Caenorhabditis elegans: one gene and its partner. The protein of the gene in region 1 purifies or fractionates together with the protein of each later gene. This does not show direct contact. Each region holds a gene or a part of one and is shown on either strand. Other genes may lie near its edges.

The links.
Region 2: the proteins of cks-1 (region 1) and cdk-1 purify together in Caenorhabditis elegans (affinity purification with western blotting, with the first as the bait; one study listed by BioGRID). This does not show direct contact.

The regions. Positions count from the first base shown.
Region 1 is NC_003282.8:8,508,510-8,517,639, reverse strand, and holds cks-1 (Cyclin-dependent kinases regulatory subunit), read right to left. Parts: upstream 3,722-9,130; 5' UTR 3,691-3,721; coding exon 3,535-3,690; intron 3,421-3,534; coding exon 3,292-3,420; 3' UTR 2,915-3,291; downstream 1-2,914. Other genes in the region: C09G4.4 (uncharacterized protein), read right to left, coding at 3,874-4,000, 4,053-4,107, 4,163-4,217; Polycomb protein mes-6, read right to left, coding at 4,314-4,467, 4,579-4,938, 5,017-5,097, 5,281-5,465, 5,510-5,683, 5,724-5,954, 6,009-6,203; FYVE, RhoGEF and PH domain-containing protein tag-77, read left to right, coding at 7,100-7,241, 8,239-8,453. UniProt on the Caenorhabditis elegans protein: Binds to the catalytic subunit of the cyclin dependent kinases and is essential for their biological function. Has a role in the exit from M phase during early mitotic cell division.
Region 2 is NC_003281.10:9,740,152-9,749,511, forward strand, and holds cdk-1 (Cyclin-dependent kinase 1), read left to right. Parts: upstream 1-7,320; 5' UTR 7,321-7,322; coding exon 7,323-7,502; intron 7,503-7,552; coding exon 7,553-7,759; intron 7,760-7,807; coding exon 7,808-7,963; intron 7,964-8,014; coding exon 8,015-8,341; intron 8,342-8,388; coding exon 8,389-8,517; 3' UTR 8,518-8,701; downstream 8,702-9,360. Other genes in the region: T05G5.1 (Prothymosin alpha-like), read right to left, coding at 271-716, 763-891, 2,016-2,176, 2,794-2,865, 2,916-3,019, 3,082-3,185; iff-1 (Eukaryotic translation initiation factor 5A-1), read right to left, coding at 5,757-5,822, 5,872-6,009, 6,128-6,280, 6,325-6,454, 6,902-7,002; T05G5.4 (uncharacterized protein), read left to right, coding at 8,789-8,842, 8,886-8,999, 9,067-9,169, 9,216-9,309. UniProt on the Caenorhabditis elegans protein: Plays a key role in the control of the eukaryotic cell cycle. Required for entry into S-phase and mitosis. Acts as a component of the kinase complex that phosphorylates the repetitive C-terminus of RNA polymerase II.

The DNA of each region.
Region 1 (9,130 bases):
GTGTCTTTGGTTTCCGCGCAAAAAGAACTGAATGAGACATCGTGTGACTTTTTTTGAGCCATCATAGTTCTGGCTCTTAAAAACTCAAAAGAACTACAGAAACAGATAGCGTGAGAAATAAATGAGGAAAGAAAAGAATATATTTCCAAGAAAAAGTTAAGCTTTCTGCACGTAATTATTTTACTTTTTTCGGGAAAATTGAATGAATTGATTGGAAAACGAGATATTTATAAAGAGATATTACAACACGAAAGATCAAAAAATCGAACGTTTGAGTTTTAGATGAAGCGGAAATAAACTAGAACATGTACAGGAAAATTGACAGAAATTGGAAGCTTAAAATCTTAAATGTATATTCTCATTTTCAATAATCTCCCTAATTTGAAATTTCATACAGAAATTATTTCAGAATAAAATTTAAGAGAAAGTGCAAATTTCTTGTTTCTTTTTCATCTTTTTCGCCTCGCTCCATCCCGCCCATCCATTTCAATTACTCTTGGGAATTAGAATCAAATAAAAAAAGAGCAGAACCTAGAAAAGACAAACACGTACTTTTACACATTTTCCATGAAAAAAGGCATGAAAATTTGCAACGTCATAACTTTGTCTAAAAGAAAAATGCGAAAAAATCAAAAGTGAAAACCCATGGGAATGGAACATGTGGGCGTATAAAAGACATAATTGTAGGATTGGAAATCTAGATTTGCTGAAAATGTATTTCAAAAAATTTATGAAATTGTAGATTTATAACTAAGCAGTTATGCTTAGAATTAAAAAAAAGAAATATATATATTGGTTTCTAGAATTTAAGAAAATTAGGACTCTACTAAAATAATGACTGAACTAAAATAATTCCAAAAAAGCTTTTGAATTGAAAAATAAATTAAAATTTTATTCCGATAGGTATATACTTCGAACCACAATTTTTTGAGATTTTTGTTGAAACATTATTAGATTATTAATTCTAAAAAAATGTAAGCATTCAGATTTTGCTTTTAATTTGCTCCAAGAATAAGGGCGGAGTTTTAGGAGTGACTCCGCCCACTCATATGTTTCCGATATATGGCTTTTTGTTGCTCTTTTTGCACGTTTCTTTCCGGGAATAGTGATCGTCTATGGCGTATGAGAGAATAAGAAAATATGGGGAAAGTGAGAAAGTTTAAAAGGGAAATCTAACATGTGCCAGGTGCAAATGTATAAATCTCAGGCATTGCCAAAAATGTTCAAACTATTTATAATCAAAATTCATTAGCTATCAAATTTTTCAAAACGATAAAGTCAGATTTGCTGCGTCTATATTTTTTTAAGCTGAAATCTAAACAATAGAGTATTGGAAAATAAATAACCTAGAATACTAAAAAGGGAGTGCGAGAGGGACATAATGATGGGCAGCAAAGTGTCTGAAAATATAGAAAAATATGAATTCCCACGAGGAATCGGATGGACTCTTCCTCTTCTTCTTCTTTTTCAGTTTTCAGTGTTTACTCTTCAAAAAATATTATATATGATCCAAAACAAGAATGGATATTCTTTGTGGCCAATTGATGAAAATATTATAATTTGCACACCAACAGATATTTATGTTTAAACATATGTTTTAAAATCACTGAAATCCCAAAATATTCTAAATTTGATGCAGCAACTCGTCTATAGATTTATGTATATCGCTGAAACTTTGAGATTTCGACCATTTAAGCAAATTCAAGGATGGTTGGGATTCCAGAGAATTTTTCAGTGGAGACGTGTATTTTGTATCAAACTTTTTCAAAGTTTAAATAAAGGTATAGCAGATTAAACTTGTTTTTGCTGATTTTCAAATATTAAACTGATTGAAATACCTATTCAGCTAAAAAAAAAGTTCCACAAATTTTTTCAAATTTAATCAATTATTTCCATTTATCTCATATTTCATATTGAGATCATTTGGAGAAATTGAAACTAGTGGCAGACCTCTTAATTGCCAGATTGATTTTTTATAAGTATAAAAATTCAGTTTGAATAATTTTAAATCTAAAAGATCCGCTTGAATTTTCAATTTAAAATTCGGGAAATGACTCTGTCTCGTGGCCCACTTGTGTATGTCACTTCTCTCCCCACACACATTCTTCACAATTATCGTTCGGTTCACTAAATATTCACAAAAACATAGACAAACCAAATAAAATAAAGTGTTTGCCTTTTCCAATGTTTTTTTCGAAAAAAAAAGCTAACAACATTCTGCCAAAATAAATGTTTTTTAAAACGTTCCATTGTTGTAGCCAATAACTTTGAAGAGTTTTCAATCGTGTGTTCGAAATGAATAAAGCAGACTAGGTTCACCTTTTTCCACTTACCGTAATCTTGGAGATCAAAAAGTGAGAAGACATTCTGGTCGTGACAAGACCCACTGATTGTGAGAAATAAACCTCTAAAGAAACATTTCACGATGAATATTTCCATAAAACATGAACAAAAAATTCCAAGCTATACCAAATGAAATAGCATTTGGAACTCAAAATAATTGCGATGCTCGATGGGATTTCCTTTTCAACAAAATTAGCTTTTGGCAGCATGCAAAGTGGATCATTGCATTGTTTTTGGGTTTTTTTGAAGGGTGTCCAAGATTTCTAATGAGCCGACGGAGCCTTCTTTTTAGTTTATGAGTTCTATTTTCATAGAACATTTGAAACATCTAATTGTGTAAATTAAAATTCTAAACAGGAAAAAACACATTTTCAAGGCAAATTTTTTACCATCTAACTTGACGAAAAAATATATCATTCAGAAGTCAGAGAACAAGTTCAATTCCCCTGTGAAGCTTCACCTGTTCGAACAGTCATCCAGCGTCAGGCTTCCCGCAGCGGCTTTACTAGTATCAAATTCAAGAAGACATGCGCAAGTTTATACTGAAACAGCTAAAAATAAAACGAAATTTCCATGCAGGTCAGTGTTTATTTATATATAAAAACACGAATACGTCGTTAAATATATTTGTAAAAAGGACCAAATTGAATATTGGCGAAAATTAAAAAGAGTGGCGAGTGGGGGACCATTTTACAAATATTTCAGATTGATTTAGAGGTGGCTCCCGTTGTCGTCTTATCAAATTGGATTTGAATTGAATTAAAACACGTTAAGAACGAGAAAAAGTGAATGGAGAGCTGATGATGGAAGAGGATAAAAATAATAACATTTTACATATCTTGAACAAGTTTCGTGTGTAAGGAGAACGAAAAGGAAAACGAGAATTTGGAAAAAAGAATGGGAAGGGAGCTAGAGATCCATATATGTGAAATGTGGATTTGAACAGTATTAGCGAACTCCAACAGCATTTCCAGAACGAACATTTCCTCCGGTTTTTTGTGTAGCTGCCAATGGTCTGCGGAAAAGAAGCACGTGACGCTCGGGTCCGTGAATCATGTAGTGCATCCATCCTGGGGACTGAAACAAAAACTTGAAGCTATGAAACGATGAGATAACTTATTCTGATGTCAGTTGAAATTATGTTCGCTTTTTCTTTTTTTCTTAAGGAAAAAACCTATTTTAAATATTTACCTGTTGAATTCCAAGACTTCTCCACTCTGTTTCGGACATCAATCGATTTTTTGGGATAAGCTTGGAAACATCCTTGGTGACATGAACGTGACGGTACTCGAACTCATCATCTTCGTATTTGTTTGAATAGTAGAAATCATTGTTTCCAGTTGTCATTTTGTTGGTTGGCGTGAGAAGGTGCGACTCTGAAATAATTCATTTTATTAACAAGCATCGGGAAATAGAAACGGACAAAAATAAGGAAAGAATAAAAAATATTGAAAAAAAAGAGAAGAATGGGAATGAGACAAGAGTGAGAATGGTGAGGAACACTGCATGTACAGACAAATCGATAAATGCTCATTGCTGACGCTGTCTGAATTGATCGATAACATCAACAGAGTCGAGTTTCCCGCGTGTTTCAAAATACTCGTCCTTTGACATTGGAATTTGACAGTGCTTGGTTGACCCAGCAGAGGAAGATGATCTGAAATAAAAAAGGTAATAACATGAAAGCTAATAAAATTTTCAAAACTCACTGAACATTCAAAAACGTCTTCTTTTTGTCACTTTGTAAGTTGCTGTCGACTGTCACTGAATTAGAAAAATTAGATAATCAGAAAACGAAAATAATCTCTTCGAAACTCACACATAAAGCTATGTTTAGGTGAAGAATAATCCTTAGAGGAGGTTGGGGATGACATTAGGAACTGCAAAATTGTAATGTAAAATCCACTGAAGATGATCGAAGATGAAATCACAACGAGATATAAAAAATTGAAGGTGAGAAGGAATGATATTCAAAATTTTGCCAGGTCCTTAGCGTCGACAGACGCAGATACACGATCAAATCGACAAACAAATCCTTCGTCAGTTACTAGTACTAGGAATCGGCCACATGTAGAGAAAGAAGCTTGCCGAACTGTACGTGAGCCAACGGAACAAGTGTGAGTCCTGTAAAAAAAAAAACAGGAATTTATACTGGTAATCACAGCAAAAATATTTCTATAATTTTTAAGAGATATCGAACATCTCAGAAATTATTTTTCTTGATATTTTACTTACGGATTGGTTTCTTCATTATTTCTCAAATCGAAAAACATCACAGAACCACCAGCTCCACCGCACACCAGCCATCGTCTTCTTGGATCAACGGCGAATTTGATAAACCATGCAGAACCACTCGGAACATTCATTGTACGAAATTTCGTTGTACACGACTTTGGACGGAGAACATTTCCATGAATGCGATTTTCAACTTCTCCCTTAGGTGGCCCAAATCTCCAAAAATGAATTGCCTTTTCATTGCCACATCCTTTTGATAGTGCGTAGTTAGTACCGATAAGAAATCGAATGCAATCCACATAATCAGAATGCATATCAGTTGATACGGAGGATGGAGTATAAATTGGAAGAAGGCAGCTCCTGAAAAAGAAGAAAACGATAGAACCAGATTCGTTGAAACAACTTTAAAAAAGTAATGGATGCCGAAAATCAACGTACGGTCGGGGTATGAGCTCTCTGTGAAGTTCGAGCAATTGATCTTCTTCTTTGTCGGGAATGTTGCGAGAAACTGCAGACTTTCTAAAAATACAAAAATGAATTACATTATGATTTGATAGCCCTGGTCTCTTTATTTACCAGTCTTTTATCCAAAACTCAAGTTTCAAAAATATTTTTATATACAACAACAGCAACAATTTTCGCGTTAAGGACTGATCAAATACTAGAAGGAACTAGAAAATGTTAGCTGAATAATTGATTTACCTCATTGTTCCTTTCGAAACATACGGAATATCTTGTGATTGTGTTAGCACATTTATTTTATCTTGGTGAAGAGCTTTGCACGCTCGTTCCAAATGTTCCTTTACTTGTTTCACAGATAAATCCCACTCCATGAGTTGATGATCGAATCCACACGATAAAATGAAGTCTCCGTCGGTTGACCAATCCTAAAATGAGAAATTCGAAACGTAAGTAAATTTAATAAACCAACCACAGAAAGAATTGTTCCAGCATGACACTCGAGACCCCCAATAACAATCAGACATGCTTCGTTTCGAATATGATGAATCCGGATAGATTGATCTGATGAAGCACAGACAATCAGATTTGAGTTGGCAGGACACGTACGAATGTCATTGATTTCCCATCCAACACTCCGAAGACGCTAAAACTCCAAATTATTTCAGTAATTTTTGATTATTTACATTCGACAGCTTCCTCGAGACGTAGTCGATAACGTAAATGTGACCCAAAGTTCCACCCGTTACAACTTTAAAGGGATTTCGGTCGTTTTCAGCTTCATATGTGTCGTAACACCAGGTAACAGTGAAGAGCGACTCCTCTCGTTCGACCTTTGATGATTTATCGGTAGGAAAATTACAAGACCACTGCAGCTCAATGTTATTTATGTCGATGGGAACAGAATACATGTGAAGCTGAAAAACAAATATTTATACCTCATTGTCAGTTTCCTGCTAAATAACGCTTACAAAGCTTCCTCCGACAGTTGCAACCGCTTGTTCCTCATCTATTCCTGCGTATTGATTGAATGCACATCCGTAAATAGCTTTCTTCTGATCTTCAAGTAGCTTGGCAGTTAGTACAAAAGGTCGTTTTCCGTAATCCTCTGTACTTCGATCAAACCCGTGAAGATTTAATGATTTGAACTTTTTCGTGTGCTCCATTCAGGTTTTTGGGAAAAAGGCAAGAAACAATATATAACAAAATAAAAACTTCACAGTAAAAACATAAAAAAGTCGATTAACTATCAAATTTGCAGTGAAAAAGGAAAAAAATGACAATAAAAACAACAGAAAAACTAAAATATGGCCGCTCGCGCGCATTTCTCGTTCAAATTGCATTAGTGGTGAAAAGCGCGGCGAGACCCAACGAGCGCATAACCTCATGCACCTTTAAAGTGTTATTTTTTTATTACAATTTTTTGTTCTCATTTTGGATTCTGTTCGAAAGTTCCGGGAGGTATTTGTGATTTCGATTGGGAATATGATAGAAAAGACAGTTGCCAGCTTAAATTTTGTATTGTCGTGAAGTACCACTTCCAATTTCGGAGTGGATTCGAACGGGATTAAGTAGATTTTGTACTCGGCTTTTTTCGCAAGGAGCGAAACTAATAATTTTGTATATTTTTTTTGTATGATCCTATATTGCTACGTGAGCTATTGTCAGTTAAAAAAAATGTTTTTGTGGTCTTTTTCAGATTTCAGAGCGATCAACTTGGGGGTATTCATTCATATTTATTATTTAGTAAAATTGTCCTTATATCAAAAGATCCACTTTGTGAATTCCGTAGACTTCTTTCATTTTTGCTATTTCGAATTTGTCTTCGTCGGCTGCTGACTCATCCATATCCCTGCGTCTCCAATGCCTGATTCTCTGCGTCTTGTGTGATTTTTTGTTGCTTCAACCTGTTCTTCTAGCGGTTGCCTTTTTCTCATGCTGTGACTGTTCCCGTTCATTACTAATTCTTAATTTCATAATATTTTAGTGTTATCGTTTTTTCTTCAATTTTTTAGCCAAAATGTTATCTCGAACGAGCTATAGTTATTTTCAGATCGCCTGTATGAAATATGACATGAACCATCGCAAAAATTCTGATGATACTCCACCGGCGTCTAGGACCGTCAAAGAAATGATGGCAGAGTTTCAAAATAAACTGGACGACGGAGACAACAGATTCCGGAAGCAACCACCACCGCCACCTTGTGAGTCTGAAACAGAGAAGACGTCTTGTATTTACTGTCGACAATTGATTGAGGCGTAGCAAAAAACTTCGTTTGCTTTGTTATCTGTGGAGAAAATAAAAGTTACGAAATTTCTTGAAAAAAAAAACTAAAAAATAATTTTTTTAAAAACTATTTATGTCTGTATTTATTGATAATAACTAAATAGATCATATGATCATAGTATTGAAAAAGAGAGAACCGAAAATCGGGTTGACAATGATTCTGTGAGTTAAAAAAAACAGTCAATTTTTCGAAAAAAAAATCTGCCTTAAACTCCACCAACAGTGAATCGAATTAATTTTTAAAGGAAATTAAGTTCTCATTTCAATTTATATATTCGTTGTTAGAATCTAGACGAAAATTCATAAATATTTTGTTACTATCATTTTTTTTTCTATTAACTTTTACAATATCGTAGAACAACTGATTTCCGTGTTAAAATTGTTTTTTGACTGTTCTTCTTCCTATTGCTTTTTGTTAACGAAAAATGCCCAATTTTCTTCAAAGTTCCTATCAAATCTGTACAGACGCGTGACCGATTGCGAAAGTAGTCAAAAAGAAGTATAAAGGCTTTTCGCAATATTGTTTGCCTAAAGGTGCCACTTGACAGATTTTACTCCTTTGTCGCCAAGAAGTGTACTAGTAATAAATTTTAGAAAATTGGGTTGTGTCCTTATATTAATTACTTGGATTATCGCCAACATTTGATTAAAATAGTCATTCTTGTGTGAACACTTGCCAAAAATATATTCACTATTTAACTTCTGTTGGTATTATTGTTCCACCCCCCGGAAGTGACCAATTTTCCGTCTGCCACTGTGTGTGCCTAGTGGTATGACTCATTTATTGAAAGAAAAACAATTATTTTATCATCTCTCAAAATGAGTGAAGCAGATACAATTACAGCAATTAGATAGTTTAAATATACCTATGAGGTTAACAGATTGGAAGATTCATTTTTAAAACAATTTTGCAGCCCCAAGACGAGCTCCACCACCGCCTCCTCATCGGAAACCTGCATCATTATCTCCACCTCCAGACGATGAGAATACAATTCGACCGCCGTCTTCTTCAGAATCGTCCGAAAATATTCCTGAAGAACCGCAGGAATTGATTACGCCAAATACAACGAGACGAAGTCTTGGACCAAAGCCAACTGTTGCTCCAAAACCATTATTTCTGAATGGATTGGTGAGATTTTAAATTAAATAATATTTTTATGAAAAATAAAAAAGGTCTTCCCATACTGGAAAAAGTTAACCAAATCGTCTGTCACATTATTATGAAAAAAGTGATGAGCTCTCAATTGGGCAGATGTGCAAATAGAGCTTGTGCCCCCGATCGTGTCCCCATTTTCAAAAAGTTTTATTGCTAAGTATTCTTTTCAAGCACTTTTTTGTAAAAAAGAACCGACTGTCACCCCCCGAACTCTCATCTACTCATAGTTTACCACATTTTTTTGTGGTCAAACTGACTTCAAAAACTTGTTCCTGGACTAGTTATTACTCTTATTCTCTAACTTCTCTACCCACAATTTTACGCCGATTCAAATATTGATTTTGATCGTTATTTCATCCCATCTTTGCCATCTTCCATATATTTTTGGAATTGAACATAAAATTGGTGGAAATTCAGCTACGGAGACGGACACAAAACACTTTTCTGAAGGCATAATCCGGCAATAAGTGCTTGCCTTTTTGTTCCCGGCCGTCTCCTACTCGACCTCCAACACCATTTTCATATTACACAAAGTCAAAAAGTTTGTTCTGCAACCTTTTTCAACGAAGATTTCACTTTCCGACTTGAATATATCAGTTTTTATTGATGAATTTCGAGGTAGGAGTAACTTTTTTTGTTGGTTTTACCCT
Region 2 (9,360 bases), on another chromosome or scaffold:
AACTATGAAATTTACAAAACACGGTACTGGGAGCATTTTAATTCACATTTTAGCCAACAGCTAAAATGTAAATTTCAAATAAAATTTTATAAATTATCCCACCCATTTTTGGTGTGCCCTGATAATGGGTGTACAAAATTCCTAACATCTGTATTTTTTTCAGGCGTCGGATTAAAATCAGGGTGCTTCATAGCATGTTTCACATAGCAACTTTTGAATATGTATTATAATTATAGTTGATATCTAGAACTAGATTTAGAAAAAACTTACATTGGATGTTCTTTTACAGTTTCATCGACTGCTTTATTGAAGACATGTTTAATCGAATCAATAAGTTTTTCATCTTCTTTTCTAATTGGTTCTTTATCATCTTCCATTTCATCTTTTTCCATAATCATATCACTTCCATCATCTCCATCTACTCCTTTACTCTCTTCTACCATAGGCTTCATAAGTTTTGTAGTTTTTGTAGTTGTGATTGTAACATCTTCAGTATTATCTGTCTCATACCCTTCATCATATTCATCTTCTTTTTCAGCAACTTGTGGATATTCTTCATCTCCACCTTCATATTCAAATTGTTCATTCATTGATTGTGTCCTTTTATCATTTAATTCCTTTTCTACTTCTTTTTCTGTTTCTTGTCTCCGTCTCTCTTCATCTCTTACTCTTGCTTCATCGGTTTCTCGTTGTGCAGCCAATCGGCGGCTTTCTTCCTGCAAAGGGATTCAGAATTAAAATAATACGGTACTTCATTCAAACCTCTCTACGTCTCTCTTCAATTTGTGATCTTTCAGCCTCGTGTTGTCTGCGTCTCTCATCATCACGTACTCTTTGTTCCTGAATTCTTCGTTCGGCTTCAGCTCGTTGTTGCTCACGGCGAGCTGTCTCCTAGAAATATTTTGTTGAGAGGAAAATTTTTAAATGAGGGGGCGGAGGGTAAGATATTTTAAAATATTCACGTCTACAGTGAGTAGATATTCTTTTCAGAATTTCCGATAATTTCGAATTTTTTTTGGCAAATTTGGCAAATTTGGCAAGACTGACAGTTTATACGTTTCGGCCATTTTTCTCAATATTGGCAATATTGGCAAATATGACAAATATGTCAGTTTTGCTAATTTCGGCAACTTCAGAAATTTTGCCAAAACCCAGTTTTTGGAAACTTTGGAATTTTTTCCATTTTTGGTAAGTGTTGGCAAGGCCGACAGTTTTATAAGTTTTGGTCAATTTAAAAATTTTGGCATTTTTATCAATATTGGTAATATTGGGAAATATGACAAATTTGTCAGTTTTGCAATTATGTCAATTTTGGAATTTTGGCAGTTTTGTATATTCTGTAAATTATCGTCATTTTAGAAATATTGTCAAGTTGGCAATTTTATATTGTGCCAATTTTGGCAGCTTTAGAAATTTTTTAATTACCTTTTTTAACTTTGGCATTTTTTGCAATTTTGGTAATTTTAGGAAACTCGGTAAGTTTTGGAATTATTGGAAACTTTGGCATGTAGCAAAGGTTAATTCTGAGCCGAAATTCCAAAACTACCTATAAAAACATTACGCCGATAATATAATGCTTTTTTTTGTCACACTTTGTTACTTGAAAATTTAATTTTTGTGCAGATTGGTTCTTGAAAATCTAATGTTTTGCTTTATTCACACCCCACTGCACCATGATTCACCTTATATGGCTCATGGGCAATAAATGTTTCAATGTTTTTGACAATAATATTCTTACAACATTTGGCGGCAACAGGCAAATCCAAAATCCGGAACTAGTTTTCAATCAAATATCAATTGGAACACTTCCCCTCAAATTGTCCCCTTTGATCTATCATTCATATACCGCCCAAATCTTTTGCTCAATCAGAAAATGCACCTCCCGTTGGTGGTGTGGAATGTGTTCAAAACAAGTGTCTGCTTGCTCGATGTGATAGAGAGCTCATTGAGATGCTCACTATCTCTCTTTCAATTTAAAACAACTGTTCTTTTCTGCTGATGGGGGGAGGGCTTACCTCTTTCCAATACTGTTCGTGTTGTTGTCGGCGTCTCTCTTCATCTGATGCTCTCTCTCGATCCTCTTTTTCTTTGCGTGTCCTCTCGGCGACTTGTCTCTCGTACTCACGTTTTCTCTCATCGTCACGTCGTCGAGCATCATCAATATCAGCTTGAGATTCTGGAATTTAAAGAATTTATTGCTGATCTAAAACAAAATGTGTTGTGGTTGACAACTTTTGACATCTCGACAGCTGTCGTGTCAGGACCAATTACATTCTCAAACAAAATAATACAAAAAAATGGAACAACAGAATAGCACATTTAAATGTTTTTGTTCAGCTTTCAGGAAAAAAACCCTAGTAACAGTTCCTTTGCGATGCGCGCATAATACTTCACTGGTCGATTTTGGCAATATCGAAAACTTTGGTAACTTTGGAAATTCTGGCAATTTTGGCTTTTTTGACAATTTTGTCAATATTGGCAATTACGTCATTCGCCGTAAATGTAAAAATACTTTTTTTTTAAACAAAAACCCTCCGAAATATAAATCCAACAAAATATATGTAGACCAACTTAAACTGAAAAAAAAGTTGCCGAAAAGTTTTGGGTTCGGCAACTTCGGCAAACATTTTTTATTTTAAAATTTCAGAAATTGAAAAACACCGTTTTAGCGCTTGTTAGCGCTTAGTTCTACTGAAATTGTGGCGAGACCCACTCAGAAAACAGTGTGTGCCTTTAAAGTGAAGTTTCAAATGGGGACAAAATCATGATAATTTGAATTTTAAAGAAACATACGCTGATGTTGGATATTCATTGGGTGTGATGTTTCATCGGATGTTGCAGTTGTTTCAATATCTTCGGGAGCAACTGAAATTTCAAAATTAAATATTTTTCCTAAACTCTAAATTTTGAGTTACTTCTAATCTGACATCTGTCCCCAGTGTAGACCCCCAAAAGACAGATGCATGAATGAAAATCGGGTCGCTCCAAATCGAAAACACACATTCCACCATTTTCGCACCTATAATTAGAAATTATAAGAAGAAGATATAATTGGTGGTTGTCAATAGTGGGTAATTTTACCTGATTTTACAGTTTGATTGAGGTGATACAAGACTTTGACCACAATTGATTAGGCCGACATTGAATGCGAACATCAAAAGTAGTAACAATATCCGTGAATGCATTTTCTGAATTAATATTGAATCGTTTATTATATTTTTATCACATTTTAAGGCATAGAAGTGTTTTGGAAACAAGGAAATCAACTTTTTTAAATTTAAAACTTATATTGAAGTGCAAACCATTGGGGTACGGAAAATACAGAGAAGAAGATGAATTGTCAAATATCATAGCAATACTTTTTTATTTAAAAAAATTGAAATTGGTTCCATCTATATCCAAAAATTGCAAGTTCTCAACAATTTTGGAAGTCAACCAAATAATTAAAGATTTTTTTAAATTGTTTTTGTTTCTAATTATGTTTAAAGCATTTGTACTCATACAAATATAGGTCTAACACTTTTTCAAAAAAAAAAACCAACAATTCCCCAACAAAAAATTAAAGTCTAACAATTTTGGACATTCCTGCAGGTTCGAAGTTCTATGATTCTTGAATTTAAATACAAAATTCGTAGGACTTTTTTGGTCAAAATTACAAATTCCAAATTATGATAGGTGAAAACTATTCCAATTTTTTGACATGAAATTCTAAAAAATTCTAATAAACTACCATGGCTTTTGTAAATTTCGGCATCATTGAAAGAATATGAAGTTTTATTTTTTAGATTATTTGAAATAAGAAAAAATTATTTTTTCAAAATTACTGTATCATTCGAGAAATTGAAACTCACCAAAAAGGTGAAAATTTAACTTGAATATTGATTTTTGATTAAATTCAGTTTAAAGAATTTTTTTAAAAAATAGGAATTCGAAATTTACGGTACTATTACGGTACTTGGTCTCGAAGCGAAACGAATAATTTGAAGTGGAAAAAAAATTCAAGGAAACTTTCAAAAAAAACTACTGTACTTCTTAAAGGCGCACACTCGTTTTCATTTCAATTTATTTATATTTTCTTCGGTCGTCGCGAGACCGGAGACCCTAATTTTGCAATGAAAATCGTGCAACTTCGCACATAGGATACAAGTACTATTTCGTATTTTTGATTTTTCAGGTACTCTAACTAATTCTAGATGCTGTTTATAAAAGTATATCCAAAAAAAAGTTCATAGCAAAAATGTTTTTTTTTTCAGGATTTCTAGCTACAAAACCAAATTTTTAAAAGTAGTAGAACAAATCTTAAGAAGTTATCAAGTAGTACAAACTAATTAGAAAAACATTGCTCTTGGAGCAAGAAGGCACTAGTGATGAATCAGTTGCGACATGTTGTGAATCTTCGACTTCTTCCTGTGTCCCGCCACTAAAACACGCAAAATGAGCCATCGACGGGACCCTGCGTCTCCGTGATTCATTGAATCTTTCATCATTTGGAACTCAAAATGACGACGGGACGACAAGTGGCTCCTGGACGGGAAGAAACGAAAAGAAATAAGAAGATGAGACGTATGTGTGTGTGTGTCCACTACTCTTTTTTTCTCGGCATCCCCTCGTTTTATACCCAGGTTTTCGTAATACTCAACTCGGAATTTGAAACTGAGACGTTGGCACGGCTCACCTACAACCTTTGTTGAGCTCATAAAACCTGCTACGAACAGGTGTCGACCTAGAGCTACTAGATGACCCGTGTAGAGGGATGGCTCTTATTTATATGAAACAAGAACTTTCTGAATTCAAAAATTATTTTAATCTTTTTTAGAGGCTGTACTGTCAATGGTTTTTTTATAAAAACTATTTAGCAGACCCAAAATTGGTCTGCTAACCAGTTTGAGAATTTTAAAGTAAAAACGCTATTAACAGTACTCCATCATAAAAACTTATTGGAATCGTAAAATGAACAGTTATACAACATGCTGGTTGATGCAACAAATGGAACAAATACTCATCAAATTCTCAGGCTTTGTTTGCGAATGTGAAGGCAAGCCGGAGATAGGAAAAGCTTAAGTAAGAACAGGTGGAGACGGACTACAGTAATCTAGATTAGGACGGATATATGTGTGGTTTTGGAGAAAGGCAAACAATCAAGGCTGATGAAAGAGTGGACACGGGTGTAAACGCGGCAGGAGGTGCGAGATGTGGCGAGATGATGATGGAAGCGTAGAGTTTACGAAATCTTCCTGGGTGACTGTGAAATTTATGCGACTCTTTTAAATTGCCAATTGATGAAGGAAGGATGGCTAGTGAGGTTTGAGGAAGGTGGGTCTTTGATACTGCACCTAGATATTATCGTGGTTAAGGGGGTGCTCGCAGGTCGCGGAGGAGGACACGTTTTAAAGTGAACAGCTCTATTGGCACGCGGCCAACCTGGGGTCAACTCAATAAGCAATAAGGTGTAGTGTACAAAGGGTGGAAAAGCTGCACAGGCCATGTAGTTCCAAAAACTAGGAACTGTGATTACAAAGTCTGACAACTGAATCTGATTTAACACTCCATGGACAGATGTCACCTCCGCGGTTTGCAAGCAATTCATTTTCGTTTGGTGAGCAGATATCACAATCAACACGACACATAAAACACCCACATTACACAACACCAGCGGAGGTGCACTTGTTCATTGCCCGATGTTTTTCGAATGATGTATAAAAAGCGGGATGATTAAACTGGAACTGCTTTTATTATGAAATTGTATATAAATGCAATTATTCCTTGGTAGAAATCTTGTATCCGAGAATAGCCTCCTCTCCGCAGGCAGCAACGACTTGAACCTGAAAATCAAAATTTTCAGATTCAAAAGGTGGATGTCGAAATAATTACCAAGACGCTTCCTTCGTCTTTCTCGAGAGCCTCACGGATAGTGTTTCCCAAGTCTCCTTCTGGCATTTTGAGATCGTCTTTGAGCTCGCAAGATTCTGGATCCATGAGCGAGCAGAACCCGTCTTCGATCGACATGAGCTGAAAATTTGATCAATAACATTTTTTACAGCTGATTAACTCATTTTTCAAAAGATTTGTTTAACCGTCCAAAGTTGATTTTTTTGAAAGCCTTCTTAAAAACTAATTAACAACTTACAATGTACTCGCGTCTCTTGACGACTGGGACGTCCATGTTGTGGGTGGATGGGCAGATATCCTCAAGCTTCTTGGTGGTGAAAATATCGATGGCAACCATGTGAACCTTAGCATGTCCGTGCTTTCCAGTCTTGGAGGTGCTCATCTCGACGATCTAAAAAATTTCTAATTAGGAAAATTCACTGAATTATTTTTTACCTTGCATGGTCTTCCTCGGATCATGACGTGCTCGTTCTTGCGAAGAGCCGAGCATTGCTTCGGGAAAGTAGCAGCAGCTCCGGACTCGGCAGAGTCGAATTGCTCCTCGTCGTGATGATCTTCGGACATACTGCAACAAAGATTTATCAATTATTTTAGCATTTTCAACTAGTTTCCAACGAGAAATTCAAAAAATAAATTTGGAAAAAAAGGTTTGCAGGAAAAAATTGTTTTGATTGAGAAATTTGATGCATTTCTAATAAAATATTGATCTTAGCAAGAAAAACACTGTACAAACCTGAGAAAAGTATAGAAATCGAGAGAAAATCAAATGCGCGAATTTTTTTGAAAGGACGTTGTTTGGCTGCGTATCACAATGAAGAATGAGTCGCTACGCAGCCAAAAATTTGGCGCCAACTTCCATCTTCAGACAGAATCGAAGTCCTCACTTTTTTAGGATTTCAAGGAATCTGCTCTATTTTTTGATTTATCTGAATAAATAATTTCCTAAAAATGCATTCGTTGCTTACTTGCCAAATTTCGCTTTCATCATGTAAAATTAAATAATAAAAATTACCTCTCTATGGTCTTCGGGGCAGCAACTCTCGCCATCCACCCTCCGAAGCCAAGATTACGATTTTTCTTTGAAACTCTGTTTAGTTTTGTTGGAAGCCTCATAAAGTAGAACAAATCAAGTTTATGATTATTTTGAGTAGTTATTTTTATATTTTCCGGCCTGTATTTATTCTCTTTTCTGCACAGTTTTGCGTTAAATTTTATCATATGAATGCAATGTTTCACAACAATCCTTCTCAGCGCGTACTCTCCTTTTCGGAATAAATTGTCATCAAAGGTGCATGCCTTTTCACTAAGCAATGGTCTCGCACCGACTGTCCCCCCTTTTCGGCGGCAGTGGAAATGATTCAAAATTACACGCTTACGCCTTTTCTATCGTTGTATTACAATTGTTCTGACAAAATTCATTTCCAATTTTAGTTATGGATCCTATTCGCGAAGGAGAAGTGGCCCACGAGGGAGATTCGGTTTACACACTCAACGATTTCACGAAGCTCGAAAAAATCGGCGAAGGAACATACGGAGTCGTCTACAAAGGCAAAAACAGAAGAACCAATGCCATGGTTGCTATGAAGAAAATCAGATTGGAAAGTGAAGATGAGGTATTTGAATTTTGTAGCAGTTTCGTTTTTTCAAACAATAATTCTTATAGGGTGTTCCATCAACGGCTGTGCGAGAGATCAGCTTGCTCAAAGAGCTCCAGCATCCGAATGTTGTTGGATTGGAAGCGGTCATTATGCAGGAGAACCGGCTTTTCCTGATCTTCGAATTCCTGTCTTTCGACTTGAAACGATACATGGATCAGTTGGGAAAAGATGAATACCTTCCGCTCGAAACTCTTAAAAGTTACACATTCCAAGTGAGGAAATATTTAAAATCGATGTCTTTACAAGAATAATTGTTCCAGATTCTTCAAGCTATGTGTTTTTGTCATCAGCGTCGTGTTATTCATCGCGATCTTAAGCCACAGAACTTGCTGGTCGACAACAATGGAGCAATCAAGCTTGCCGATTTCGGACTTGCCAGAGCTATTGGTATCCCGATTCGCGTTTACACGCATGAAGTGAGTTTGCATTCATTCTGTACACCAATACAATGATTGTCCGGTTTTCAGGTTGTCACTCTCTGGTATAGAGCTCCAGAAATTCTGATGGGTGCTCAGAGATACTCGATGGGCGTAGACATGTGGTCGATTGGATGCATTTTTGCTGAAATGGCCACGAAGAAGCCACTGTTTCAAGGAGATTCAGAAATTGATGAGCTGTTCCGCATCTTCAGAGTTCTCGGCACACCGACTGAGTTGGAATGGAATGGTGTTGAATCACTTCCGGACTACAAGGCGACGTTCCCAAAATGGCGTGAGAATTTCCTCCGTGACAAGTTCTACGACAAGAAGACTGGAAAGCACCTTTTGGACGATACTGCATTCTCTCTTCTTGAAGTAAGATTTCTAAAATAGTACTTTAACAAGTAAAATAATATTTTCAGGGTTTGCTGATCTACGATCCATCACTTCGTCTCAACGCGAAAAAAGCTCTCGTTCATCCTTATTTTGACAACATGGATACGTCAAAGCTGCCAGCTGGAAATTACCGAGGAGAACTCGAACTCTTTTGATGTAATTCATTCATCATCATTTTTATTATTTATTCTCCCGTGCTTTAACCACCTATCGTCTTCCGTGTATTGTTTAACTATCACCATTTCAACTTTTTACCTGTACGATGATTATTTGGCCCTTCGATATTCATGAGTAATCTCTTTTTTCACACCGCGATAAATAAATTCGCTCTACTTTCATGCTCTTTTTTATTCAAGCACTTTGTTCAACGTGTAAATGAGAATAGGGAATTAAGAATTCATTATTATTATTTTTCCATTCTGAAGAATGATCGCTGCAGTGATTCCAATATTCGTAATTTCTCTGTCTAACATTTCGCACGTAAGCTAAGGTAACGAAAACTAATCTAACTGGAGCTATTAAGATTATTCTTGCAATTTTCTTCTTCCCATCGATTGTAGAATTCCTCGATGATCTTTACTGGGGATTCACTTATCGTTCGTGGTCTCCAATTGCACGTCAATTAGAATTGGGACCGGTAGGATATATCCCTATATATAGGATTAAATACAATTTAGAGAATAAATCAAAATAATTGTGTTTAGAACATTTACATTCATCACTCGAAGGTTTCTATTTTGATGGACAAAGCTGATCTTTATGAGAAGAATCAGTCTAGGAAAGATATTTTAAACTATTACCGGGAAGGTATTGTTTAATATTTATTCATTCTCTCGAATATCTGAAATTTCAGAAGACAAGGATTTTGAGCAGTATTTGAATTTTAGAGAAAATCGAAAAATGTTGCAACAAGCTTTTGAAAGCGGAACTTTGATTCGAAAACAAAAGTAAGATATTACATTTCTCTAACTTTCCAGCTGTCATTATAATTTCCACTT